3 linked regions of the Saccharomyces cerevisiae S288C genome follow. The gene in region 3 interacts genetically with the main gene of each other region. Each region holds a gene or a part of one and is shown on either strand. Other genes may lie near its edges.

Evidence for each region.
Region 1: mutations in NEO1 (region 3) and CRZ1 together harm fitness more than expected from each alone (negative genetic interaction), as found in Saccharomyces cerevisiae (2 studies listed by BioGRID).
Region 2: mutations in NEO1 (region 3) and YLR225C together harm fitness more than expected from each alone (negative genetic interaction), as found in Saccharomyces cerevisiae (2 studies listed by BioGRID).

What each region holds. Positions count from the first base shown.
Region 1 is NC_001146.8:577,853-582,116, forward strand, and holds CRZ1 (DNA-binding transcription factor CRZ1), read left to right. Parts: upstream 1-1,727; coding exon 1,728-3,764; downstream 3,765-4,264. Other genes in the region: KTR5 (putative mannosyltransferase), read right to left, coding at 1-921; SAM complex subunit SAM50, read left to right, coding at 4,068-4,264. UniProt on the Saccharomyces cerevisiae protein: Involved in the regulation of calcium ion homeostasis. Binds to the calcineurin-dependent response element. Transcriptionally regulates PMC1, PMR1, PMR2A and FKS2.
Region 2 is NC_001144.5:587,195-590,485, forward strand, and holds YLR225C (uncharacterized protein), read right to left. Parts: upstream 1,725-3,291; coding exon 501-1,724; downstream 1-500. Other genes in the region: UCC1 (Ucc1p), read left to right, coding at 1-379; BUR2 (Bur2p), read left to right, coding at 2,160-3,291.
Region 3 is NC_001141.2:259,611-265,449, reverse strand, and holds NEO1 (aminophospholipid-translocating P4-type ATPase NEO1), read right to left. Parts: upstream 4,014-5,839; coding exon 558-4,013; downstream 1-557. Other genes in the region: SYG1 (Syg1p), read left to right, coding at 1-335; DFG10 (putative polyprenol reductase), read right to left, coding at 4,531-5,292; PCL7 (Pcl7p), read right to left, coding at 5,680-5,839. UniProt on the Saccharomyces cerevisiae protein: Flippase that catalyzes the hydrolysis of ATP coupled to the transport of lysophosphatidylserine, phosphatidylethanolamine, and phosphatidylserine from the lumenal to the cytosolic leaflet of the Golgi apparatus membrane and ensures the maintenance of asymmetric distribution of phospholipids.

The sequences.
Region 1 (4,264 bases), on a different chromosome or scaffold from region 3:
CTTTTCGGATATCTTAGCCTTGGCCTGAAAATCATAGTTGATCCAGTCCCGTAACTCCGGATCATCGGATTCAAAAATGTCGTAATCCTTTGTAAATAGTTTCCATAATGACCCAAGCGTAACGCCTTTTTGACTGATAAAGCTTTTAGTGTGTCTAAACAAATTTGGGACTGTCCAATACAATTCGGGGATGATGATCGTAAATCCATATTTCTTATTAGTTCGGAGCATCTCCAAAAAGGGATCGTAGGTAATATCACAGAAAAACTCAACATCGGGTTCCAATCTCCAATACCATTCGTACTTCTGTACTAGCGGGTGCTTGTAAAATAATCCTGAATAAAACCGGCACATCTTATGATATGATTCTAAGTTTCCGTAAAGTATGCTTCTATCACCTTGATCCTCAATTGCGTTGTAGAACTCGAACGTATCCTTTACGTCACTGGGAAAATTCCAAGATATCTCATCGATAGTGCCAAATTCCACCAGCGCGCCCACTGTAACATCACGTACTTTTGCTTTGAAGTCCTCTTCAAACGGCTGGTCATTTAAGAACACATATGGATAGTGGAACCACTGATTGAAATGCTCTTCTATACTGTTGATAGTCTTGATAACATCTTCTAGCTCCCCGTTCCTTGTTAGCATGACAAACGAGGCATTCTGCTTGATGTACGATGGATTCAACAAATAGTCCTGAGTATTCACACAATTCGAATAAAAGGGTCTGTCCCTCTTCGTCGCAAGATCCATCTTGGAAAACGGAAGAAAATTTCCCATAGTTCCGTCTACGGATGCAGGCTCAGATACAAGTACCACATACATGGTTATGACGAAGGCAATCAGGATGCACGTCGCCGTAAGATTGCAATGGATACATCCCAGAAATGCATTTATCGTCCTTCTTATTAGCAACATCTGCTACCTTATGACGATGTGCCGTATTGAGACACATTTATTGATGACACCTCCATTGAACAAGACTATTTGTGCACGGAAGCACTCATATCTACTACTTCGCATTTTTTTGAAGACCCTTTCTCGAATGCCTGCCCAAATTTTTCAATTTTCTTGGCATCATCCACACACCGCATGCTTAAAGTGTACTATCCAAAAAATGAGAGAAAAAGCAAATACCTAAAAGCACCCCACCTCTTCCATATCCCACGTAATGGCAATTGGCATATATGCTCGGCAAGGGAAATTACTGGTCGTAATATAGTGCAACATGCAACTTGCCAGGCGCACTATAGTCACATCTTATTATGTTAGCAGTTGAGCTCCAGCTTTGACTGCACTTTAGCTTAGTTGCAACTTCGCCCCTCTGTTGGGGGCTGAAAAGTACATCCGCGCATTTAACAATTGCTAAGCTATCTTGAATAACATTATACTAATTAATATCTATAGAAGCAGAATGTCTACTACGTCGAGGACCCTACCCCTGTATTTGTGCCTTGCATGAGCGAGCTATATATCAGCGATACGTTTTTTTGTTTTCCTTTCGACCTTCTTGCCTACCCTCTCACTTTTCCCACCTGAATTTTTTTTATCATATTAGTCCGATATTGAGTTTATAAACCTTGTGAAGTGCTAGATAAAGTACAATCAAAAGAGCAGGCAATAGCCATCACAGCAGTTTAGTACGATTATACACTCTGAACGCGAGTAAAACTAGGTTGTATTTTTAGTCTCGATTGGAAGTTTCGTCAGACAGTACAAGGAAGATGTCATTCAGCAACGGAAATATGGCTTCCTACATGACTAGTAGTAATGGAGAGGAGCAAAGTATAAACAACAAAAACGATATAGACGATAACAGCGCTTACAGACGTAATAATTTCAGGAATAGTAGCAATTCAGGATCACATACGTTCCAATTATCGGACTTGGACTTAGATGTGGATATGAGGATGGATTCCGCCAATTCATCGGAGAAAATATCAAAGAACCTTTCCTCTGGCATCCCGGACTCATTTGATTCTAACGTGAACAGCTTGCTGTCTCCGTCAAGCGGTTCTTATTCTGCAGATTTGAATTACCAAAGTCTATACAAACCAGATCTTCCACAGCAACAGTTACAACAGCAACAGTTACAACAGCAACAGCAACAGCAACAGCAACAACAACAGCAACAGCAGAAGCAAACACCAACTTTAAAAGTCGAACAATCTGATACATTTCAGTGGGACGATATCTTAACACCTGCTGATAATCAACATCGGCCATCCCTCACAAACCAGTTTTTATCTCCAAGATCTAATTACGATGGTACCACTAGGAGCTCGGGCATTGACTCCAATTATAGCGATACAGAATCAAACTATCATACGCCTTATTTGTATCCACAGGACTTAGTTTCTTCACCTGCGATGTCTCACTTAACCGCGAATAACGATGATTTTGACGATCTTTTGAGCGTCGCATCTATGAACTCAAATTATTTACTGCCCGTAAATTCACATGGTTATAAACATATTTCAAACCTTGATGAGTTGGATGACTTGCTATCTTTAACATATTCAGACAATAACCTTTTATCAGCATCAAACAACAGTGATTTCAACAACAGTAATAACGGAATTATTAATACCGCTGACACTCAAAACAGTACCATTGCCATTAATAAAAGTAAAGTCGGTACTAACCAAAAGATGTTATTGACTATTCCAACTTCTTCCACACCTTCTCCTTCCACTCATGCTGCCCCGGTAACACCCATCATTTCTATACAGGAATTCAATGAGGGACACTTCCCAGTTAAAAACGAAGATGACGGAACGTTACAACTAAAAGTTCGGGATAACGAAAGTTATAGCGCTACTAACAATAACAATCTACTTCGTCCAGATGATAATGATTACAACAACGAAGCTCTCAGTGATATTGACCGCTCCTTCGAAGATATCATTAACGGTCGAAAATTGAAACTTAAAAAATCAAGAAGAAGATCTTCTCAAACTTCCAATAATAGTTTCACTAGCAGGAGATCCTCGAGATCAAGAAGCATATCTCCCGATGAAAAAGCTAAATCTATAAGTGCAAATAGGGAAAAGTTATTGGAGATGGCAGATCTTTTACCATCCAGTGAAAATGACAATAATCGGGAGCGCTATGACAATGATAGCAAAACTAGCTATAACACCATTAACAGTAGCAATTTTAATGAGGATAATAATAATAACAATTTGTTAACAAGTAAACCAAAAATTGAATCGGGCATTGTCAATATTAAAAATGAACTAGATGACACTAGCAAAGATCTTGGCATACTTCTAGACATAGATAGCTTGGGCCAATTTGAGCAGAAAGTTGGTTTCAAAAATGATGATAATCACGAAAATAACGATAATGGCACATTTTCTGTTAAGAAAAATGACAATCTAGAAAAACTAGACAGTGTAACAAATAATAGGAAAAATCCTGCGAATTTTGCTTGTGATGTATGTGGTAAGAAGTTTACAAGACCTTATAACTTAAAGTCACACTTAAGAACGCATACAAATGAAAGGCCATTTATTTGTTCTATTTGTGGTAAGGCGTTTGCACGTCAACATGATAGAAAGAGACACGAAGATTTGCATACAGGTAAGAAAAGGTATGTATGCGGTGGTAAGCTGAAGGACGGTAAACCCTGGGGTTGTGGCAAAAAGTTTGCAAGAAGTGATGCTCTTGGTAGGCATTTTAAAACTGAAAGTGGTAGAAGATGCATCACTCCCTTGTACGAAGAAGCCAGACAGGAGAAATCGGGACAAGAGAGTTAATTATTTTTGTTTTTTTAAGCTTTGAATAGGAATTTTTTTTTTCTATATAATAAATATGTAATTTCATAATGACAGTGTAGAAATTATGGCTAATCTAATCCATGCAAAGGTATTATTTGGTTATTGTTTTTGTAATGAAATAGTATAAAACAGTGATATTCTTACGGATTAATAGTTTTTACGCCCGTCTGAATTTTCTAAGCTGCCGAAAATAATGGCAAGTAACAAAAAGTTATTGTATGAGGATGCGTTTTACGTGGCAAAAGTTTTGATGCCAAATAGACAAAAGTAGCTCAATTCAACATGACCTCATCATCTGGTGTTGATAATGAGATTTCCTTAGACAGCCCGATGCCAATTTTCAATGAGAGTTCTACTTTAAAGCCAATTAGGGTTGCGGGTGTAGTAACAACAGGGACAGATCATATCGACCCTAGCGTACTACAGGCATACTTAGATGATACTATTATGAAATCCATTACTTTGGGGCAGCTAGTGAA
Region 2 (3,291 bases), on a different chromosome or scaffold from region 3:
TCCCCTGGAACTGAAAGCTATCGACAGGACAGATTCAGATGTTTGTATCAATGGTGATTTAGTTCTACTCGGTTATGACTTTATTCCATATCAGATATCGAAGCCGTGGTTACTCTTTAGAATCGAACCCGTAAATAGCATTGAAGCAATCTTCAACTATAGTGAATGTTCTTTTTCATACCAGTTTGCATGGAGTTTGGCCTGCTTACAATCTGAAGAGAAAATTTCATTTCCTAGAGACACGATAATTGGGCACGGTTTACCTTACAAGCCATCCAAATTGATAAGAATTTTCGTCTACAAGCATCCGGAACAAAAGCAAGATCTTGGTCAAGAAATAGCATTGCCCAACTGGAATACCCCTTATCTTCGAAGATGAAAAAAAAATTTATCAATTAGTCTATAATATATGTGTATATACGTCTATGCACCTACCTACTTATAAATGGATATAATATTCTTGCAATGATGAAAATATGTATAGTCAAATTTCATTTTTTTCAATTGATAAATGTACTTTCAATGATGGAAACTCCTTCATCGTCATCGAATTTAGACTTCTGGCAGAATTGGTAAATGAATGGCTTCATGTTTGCCAGATTTTCAGCAATAGACCTAATGAAAGCGGGCAGCTCACTCATTATATCGTACCTATTGACTAATCTTAAATTAGATTCTTCAAAACCACGCGGAAATGAAATGGATGTAGGATATTTCCAACCATTTTGCTTATCCTCTTTTGTAGATGGAAATTTAACAGCATGATCATTTACACTTGACCCGACCTCCAAAATTTTGTCCTTATCACTAACCGCCCATATAGTCACTGTAGTGCTGCCATATTCTTTTGTTGTGGTGAATTCAATACACATCATCGAACGCTTCTCACCATTGAAACAAAGAAAATTCCATTTACTAGCCGCCTTATTGGGTATTAGCCCCTGGACAGCATCCAGATACAACATAGGCGTGTCCTTCAAGTCCAGCTTCACAGGTTTATCGTTTTTCTTGTATGAGATGGTACCATTGCAAAAACCTCTAGGAACAAAAACATGTCTTATCATTTTTCTGGACGTACTAGAAGAGTCTCTTTTTGCTAACTCTTCCAAGCTGATGCTCTTGTCAAGGTAATAATTGGAACCGTCCGGGTTTATTATGAATCCTTCTTGTAAATTTACGGTAATGTCAACCTTCAAATCTTTTAGTAAACAGCTTGTACTTCCCTTCGGAATATCTATCTTAATTAATAATTGAGCAAATCCACTGGAGGAAGAATTTTCCAAAGGTACGAAGTGAAACGTAACATTGTCCGATTCAACTTTTAACGTATCAAAATCTTTGATATTATCAATTTTAAAGCTTTCCCATATATCAATGTCTTCTTCAGAGTTTTCCTCACTGCTGGCTTTAAATATTTTGAAATTTAACTGAAAACCTTTGTATATACCGCCCATAACACTGGAATATAATAGTTGAATTAATCCACATTTGCCGTTGGTGAGATCCGTAAAATACAGAGTTTGTGTCTCTATTCTTGTTTCCGTTGGATTTCTTACTGCTTTTAATAAACTATGTGACTTGAACTTTTTGTGATTTGACGTCCTGCAAAACCATTCTAGTTTCGATGTATCCTGAAATTTAGTATAATTAGCATGATCCTTCTCGGATAAAACTTCCTTAACGGGGGCAAATTTCGTCTTCTCCTTTTTGATCGCAACCGCCATTTTTTCTTTGCTCTATGATTTTTATGTTAATTAAACTGTTCGTTGCCCTAAAATTTTGAAAATTTCTCGAATATTTAGAGAGAATCCGTCACTATTTTAGTATCTATCTTGTCTATTTATATATAAAATCTCATTCCCCTGTTATGGTTTTTGCCAAGCCCTATCCCAAAAAACCAAATGATACATGATAAACCTATTTATCCTCTTTAACAGACCTATCGTTTAAAGCTTTTTTATTGCAAACCCTATTCATTATGGCTTTTTGACCTAGGTCTCATTGTGACTTCTATTTTTCACTGTTCAGTAAAAAAAGAAAAGTGATTAAAAAGTATCACTATTTCTGTTAGAAAGCAAGTAGCTATTTTGATTGGTAATTATATACACATATTGAAGGAGGCCGTAGTATTTTCGTTTAAAATATATTACAGTAAGATAATGTCTGCTACATCTTCAAGTGGTGACGTGAAAAAATTTCAAGCTGTACCAAAACCAACGAGCAATGCATCACCACCACCAGCATCGAGTGGGTTTAACGCAAGGACCCTATGGCCGGATTTGATAGAAACACCAGAAAACCAGTGGGTTTTTGAGTGCAAAGATATTATTGAAAAGATAGGCACTAATGGACCGATAGCAGTGGAAATAAAAAAAAATATGGAAAAATGCTTAATGTACTTTTACACACTTAAAAAAAAATTAAATCTTTTTGATCACACCTATACGGCATCATGCATTCTATTTTACAGGTATTGGTTCATATATGGAATACCTACAGCCATAACTGAATGTATTCATATATCACAGGGAATTCTGGTCACCGCTTGCAAAACAATGGAGAATAATAGGCCTATAGAGGCCTATATTAAGGCGACTTGTGAGTTTTTGATGCAAAATATACCGTCTTTAAAAAGTCGAACAAATATTGATAAACTTAAATGGGAATTTAGAGATAAGTTAGTGACGAATGAAAAAAAAATACTATGTTTATTTGGCTTTGACTTAAATATCAGTAATCCAAAAGAATTGATTGAAGAAGTGTTCAGTGGCTATTATAGATTCAACAGGGATCACAATCTGCCAGAAAACTTTAAAAAAGCTTTTCCAAAAATTCTTCAAGAATCAAGAAATTTTATGGTCCAAGCTGTCACCCAGCCAGTTTCTTTATTGTGCGACGGTTATACGTTCATTGTACTATCTCTCATATACTGTGGTTTAGAGTATAAAAAGCTTGTAGACAAAGATTTCAGATATCCGAAAAACTTCTTCAAGGATAGATTCCCTATCGAAGTAACGCCGGAAAATTTTGCCAATATCTTTACCGATTACAAGTTACTGGAAGAGAATTTTTTCAACTTAAAAAGTAATAAAGGTGCTAAATTACAAATTGATTCAAGCATGATTGATTCGGTGATTGACGAAAGTGGCGATGTGGAAAATGAAGTTTCAGAAATCTCTGATCCGTTTAACTACGAGTTGATTAAATCCGGTGAGGTGAAGGAAGAGTTTTTGAATCATATTGAAACAAGGGTTAAAGATTTACTAGATAAGGCTAAACAAGAAAGTATGA
Region 3 (5,839 bases):
TTCACCTATTCAGGGTTACCGGTGACGCTCCTCTGCCTTATCCAATTGCGCAGGTCGGTGATGATTCTATGGATAGTAGTGATTTGGGTTCAAAAGCCTTTTCATCACTTAACGACATACCTATCACGCCTTCACATGACAATAATCCTCACAGTTTTGCCGAACCTATGCCCGCTTACCGTGGGACTTTCAGAAGAAGGTCCTCCGTGTTTGAGAACATTTCGAGATCCATTCCTTGGGCACATGCAACTGATTTCCAAAGACCAACTGTCAATACCGTGGATGATAGGTCTCCCGAAACAGATAGTGAAAGTGAAGTGGAAAGTATTATGTGATTTGGGCTGGACATGATATTTGCTATTGTTAACCTGCTAAAGATGCTTATTTGAGGAAGTACAAAGAAAAGAAAATAAAAAGTAAAAGAAAAAAAATGTAACAAAATAATATTATGCATAATCTATATCTTCTTTGTAAAAATAAGAATTTATATTTTGAAATATGATAGATTTTTTTAAGATAATCCGTTGAAGCAACAAGAAAAATCCAAACCAATTGAATTATGGAGTGGCAAACTCTTGCACTTTTGCATAACTTGGAGGATGTAGCCTTCTATAAATTGCCTTTGCCGTCCAGACAGGAAAGATCGAGATGAGTAATATAACTAAAAGTCCAGCATAGTAATTTACGGTAGTCATATAACCTAAATCAAAATAATCGCCAAGAAATGGAACCGATACAATGTAAAATAGTAAAGTAGCAATTTCAGTGACGAGCATTGTTTTATTCCATGTGTAGATTTCTAAGGCAACCATTATTAATTCATTTACAACCAAAGCAGTGAAGCTGATAGCAACCATCCTTGTGAAATCAGTATCTAATAAACTCGTAAAGGCCTGAGAAAATAATTGAATTACAGAACCTTGGAATAGCGATAATAGAACCCAAACAAAGAACGTCTTATATGATAAGCTCTTACCTTCAGTCAATTCTTTGTACAATTCTGGGTATATTTTAGTCAATGACTCTTCGATATCGTGATCAAGAGTTAATGAAAAGACTGGAGCCATTGTATAGCAGGTAGCATAACCGACCATTAACCAACCTTGATAAAGAGCAATAGGTTCGAACAACGAACAGATGGAATATACCGCTTGGCAAATTGCAATGATTAAACCTCTATGCATGACAAATTGAGCCAATTTAGCAGATCTTTTGTAAGAGTTCCTACCATGCCATAATAGTAATTCGGTGAGGTGACAAAATTGCGTTATAGAAAAATCAGCAGCTAAAGAAGCTTGTTTACCTTCTTTACCCACAATCCCTACGCCAACATCTGCACATTGAATCATACTAACATCGTTACCTCCATCACCAATACAGCATACCCTTTTGCCCGTCATTTTACGAATTACCAAAGCAACGTCTGCCTTCTGTTGAGGTGTACAACGGCAAGCAATAACAGTGGGTAAATGAACCACGACATCAAAAAATTCCTGTTCGTAATGTTTCAAAAACATTCCCAGGGATTCACCATCTATTAAAAGACAAGCATTTCTATTGATTTTTAGATACTCCAGCTGATTGAATGCACCTTCCGGTCTTGTGACTTTTGTTATCGTATGAACATATTGGCCACGAGATATTAATTTTGCACTTATGGAAACACAACGAGCAGTTTCAACTTTATCACCTGTCAGCATCCAAATCTTGATACCTGCGTTTCTTAATAACTCGATAGAGGACTTCACATCCTTCTGTAACTTATCTTCTACACCAGTTAGACCCAATAATTCAAGATCATGCTCTAAATACTTGGTGATAACTTGACTCATCTGTTGATCACGATTTAGCATTGACAAAGAGGCATCGTTGTATTCTTTTTGAAATTGCTCGTAAATTTTCTTGTTTAATTTTTTACGACCGATAACCAAAGTACGTAGACCTTCACGAGCCATATTACCTGTTTCTTCCTCTAGCCAATCATTGCTTTCCACAATTTTTGACATGACAGTATCGGCCCCTTTTTGCATAAACCAATATTCATCCAATTGCTCATCACGAACAATGATACCCATACGCTTAGAATCAGAATTAAATGGGAATACTTGTAAAATTTCGTAATTTAAAGTCTTACCAGAATGTTCGTGTAATAAAGAAATTGAATGGCGATCTCTTTTGAAAAGAGATAAGCCAACCGACTCGGTAAATTTAACAATAGCAATTTCATCAGGTGATGCCGCTTGATATGTAAGTTCGTCATCCTCAAAAGTGGGAGTAACGTTATGGCAAATTGCTAGAGTTAAAATCATATCACGTACACGAAAAGACATATCCTTTCTTGTTGTTGATAAGGCAACTTTAGAATTGTTCAAAGAGTCATTTTTAGAGCTCACCAGAGATTGTACATAGTCGGATACAATGTCTAATGTTTCCGACGTGTATGATACAGTACCCAAGTGTATTTTCTTCAATTGCATATCATTCTGAGTAAGCGTCCCTGTTTTGTCGCTTAGAAGGTATTCAATACGGCCTAAATCCTCTGGAATTGTACTCGTTCTAACAATTGTTTCAGGAATGGTTTTATCGTGTTCGATCTGATGTGCATAAACACTTTTGGCTAAATCTAAATTAACTCTTAAAGAGACAGGGATGATGGTAGAAAACAATATCAGATACCTCAAAATGTCAATGTACCAGTCGTCATTGTGGAAACCGGCAAATGCAACTAAAAGAATTGACAGGGCAAAAACACATGCACAAAGAATCTTGGAAATACTGTTAATTTCTAGCTCTAATAAGCCAGTTTTAACCTTAGCTGTAGTTGTATTCATAGCTTGCCTAGTATCTCTGCCAGTGTAGACGACACAAGCAATACAAAATCCACTGGAAGCTAGAACAGTATTCGCCCATAGAGTATTATCTACAGACAAAGGGTTTGAAGTGGAATCCTTATAGGTAACTTTACCTAAAAATTTATGAATAGATTTCTCAGGAGCAGAGGCTGTTATACTAATTCTGTTAATTAAGTCATTTTCAGATAGATTTTGGGTCAAGGGACAGGCAACACGTAGTTTCCAGTCAGTCTCCCCATCTAGTTGGTCAGTTTTGATAAATGACTCGCCTGATGGTTCACTTGATTGTAAAAGAACCAAATCAGCGGGAATACGATCACCTTTATGGACTTTTATGAGATCTCCAACTTTTAAGTCTTTGCTTGGTATGGAACGATTTCTCGTTATTACATGATACAGTTCATTGTTTGACTCTCTATCACGTCTCCTTCTCTGAATATCATCTATAGCTTCCTTTGCCATGGTTACTGTCAGCACAAATGCTAAAGGTACAATATACGATGATAAATACCCTATTCTTAGTGCAGGAACGGCCTGCGATAATGCAACTACTAAAAAGTATAAATTGTAAAAGAATTTGAACTGTTCATATAATAGGGTTGGCACAAAAGTAACGGCATTATATTTGGCATTAGATAGTTCATTCGAAACGTATCTATTCCTATCGTACACAGGAGTCGTGTCTGGATGTATTTCTCTTTCGATGTGTTGATCACTGAGTTCTATGGGTGAACCAAACTTGGACCAGTTTTTTGTGTTAGATACTTTTAAATATGAGAGGGCTTTTGAAAAAATATTGTTTGAAGACGACGGTGGTGACGAAGCAATATTAGTAAATTTGAAATTATCATCCTGCGAGAGGCGATTATCATACATCAAAGGATGGGTATCTGTGTTTGAAGACTTACGATGCGAATCCGAAGAATGGTTAGAAAAATTGTCTAAATCATCTACTGTTCTCATTTCAAAACTTTCCCTATCTCCAACAGTGTTATGCTTACTAAGTGGTTCTGGGTTATTATTAATTTGTAAACTGTCTAAAGCAGCGTCAAATGAATCGTCGAGATGTAAGTCAAAAGAATCTACACTGTTTGCGTGTTGATTATTGTTGGAGTTGAATAAATTCTGCTTATGTGACTTAAATGAAGGAGGGTTAGGCATTTGTCTCTGAAGTTTTCCGTGCACACTGATACCCCTTTCTTTTTCAGATTAACGTTATGCCACACAAGTGCTCTGATTGTTACTTTTTCTCAATTGCTTAACGGTATATTGCTGTTAATAAGCTGATTGTTGAGTACTGTATAAGCTTCAAAAATCCAGATGAAATCTTTTATTGCGTAGATCAGGCTTCTAATAGCAGCAAATTCAGGTGAAACAATGCCTAAAATATTAAATAAAAAATAGGTATTGAGTAATTTTGGTCCTCGTTTTAAGTAACGAATGTGTCCGAAATTCCCAAGATGTCTAACCTTTTGTTTGGCAGTGATAGGTCTTAGCCACTGTGCCAGTATTTACTCTTTCCAACTGCCTCAAAAAGGTATGGCCTTACCTTCGTTTTTAATGACACGTATACGAGCCTTTGCTGTCTAATTAGTGGTAAAGTGATAATAGTGAAAGTAAAGTGGTTCTTTACCGCGTCTATATATATATGTATATGAATGCCCTAGTGTGCACATTACTAGATTATAAAAGGTATTATGGCGTAGGGGGCTACGTGATTGTCTTTAAATTTGTGCCTGTAATAATTTTTTGTTTCCAATGCGGATATAGTCAAACTTGTGATTACCCAAACTAGTGTTAGGTAAAATTCTTGTTCATAGGGCAACAGAGTAGAATAAATGATTATTTCATCGAGATAATGAGGACAGCATACCAACCTGAAAAGCCTTCCTGTTGGCAGCGAATATTTAACCAGATTGGCCAGAATAACATGATTTTTGTACTGATCCCAAGATGCTATGCAGAATATGATGAAAGCATTCATGTTTAACGTATTTGGAATGGAGTTCTTGTACAGTGATATATTAAGAATTAACAAGAGTACGGAATAGAACCATATACCGACTAGATAATGGGACCAATTCATCCTAGAATTGCTTGTATAATGTAGTACATAAAGCGTTTCATAAAGTCGGCGCAATGAGTGTCCAAATATGATCCAAACGATGGGGAATTTAGGATAGAAATATAAGGTGACTAAGGATAGAAAGGTAGCCAAATAGTAAAAATGGGAAAAATACGCCTTTGGAACTGTGAACTTCTTGATTCGTTCTAAAATGCTTGAGTACTTTGAATTCTCTTTGGGCCGGTAGGTTTTACCATATTGAAGAAATTCTGGTAGACAACTTTTTGCTATGAAAAGTGAGCAAATGCCTACAAAAAAGGATAATCTATAGGCATATATAGTATATTTTAGCAATTGTTCTTCATCAAAGTACATTGGACTGGTAGATTCTACGTTTTAAGCCAGATCGGTCCGCCGATAAACCTATTTATATTCCACATTTGGTATATTTTTACTTTTTCGAAACGTCCTTAATTCTCATTTTGGAAAAAAAAGAGAAAGCATAATACTGAATAGAACAAGGACCGAATTTCTCTTTACCGGTAGATTATGATTTATTTGGGCAAAAAGTTTTTTTTTTCATTCTATTGCAATAGCTATCATTTCAGGAGAAATGCTACTAATATGAAAAACCACTGATTTAAAAGGAATATTAAATTATTTAAATATAACCGATATGTACGCGTTACGTAAATCAGAAATTGATATGTATAATACGAGTAACGGTAAGGGAAGGGCATGAATAATATGCAGGACAGCATTCTACTGGTCGTTCCAGAATTTATATAACAAGTTTGCATATTTCTGCATTTCTTCGACTGAAACCAATAACTTGAAATCACATAGTATCAGGAATTGTAATTCTAAATGGTTTAACTCTTGCAAAGAAATACCTCCAACCTTGGCGTATCGAGAGTTACTG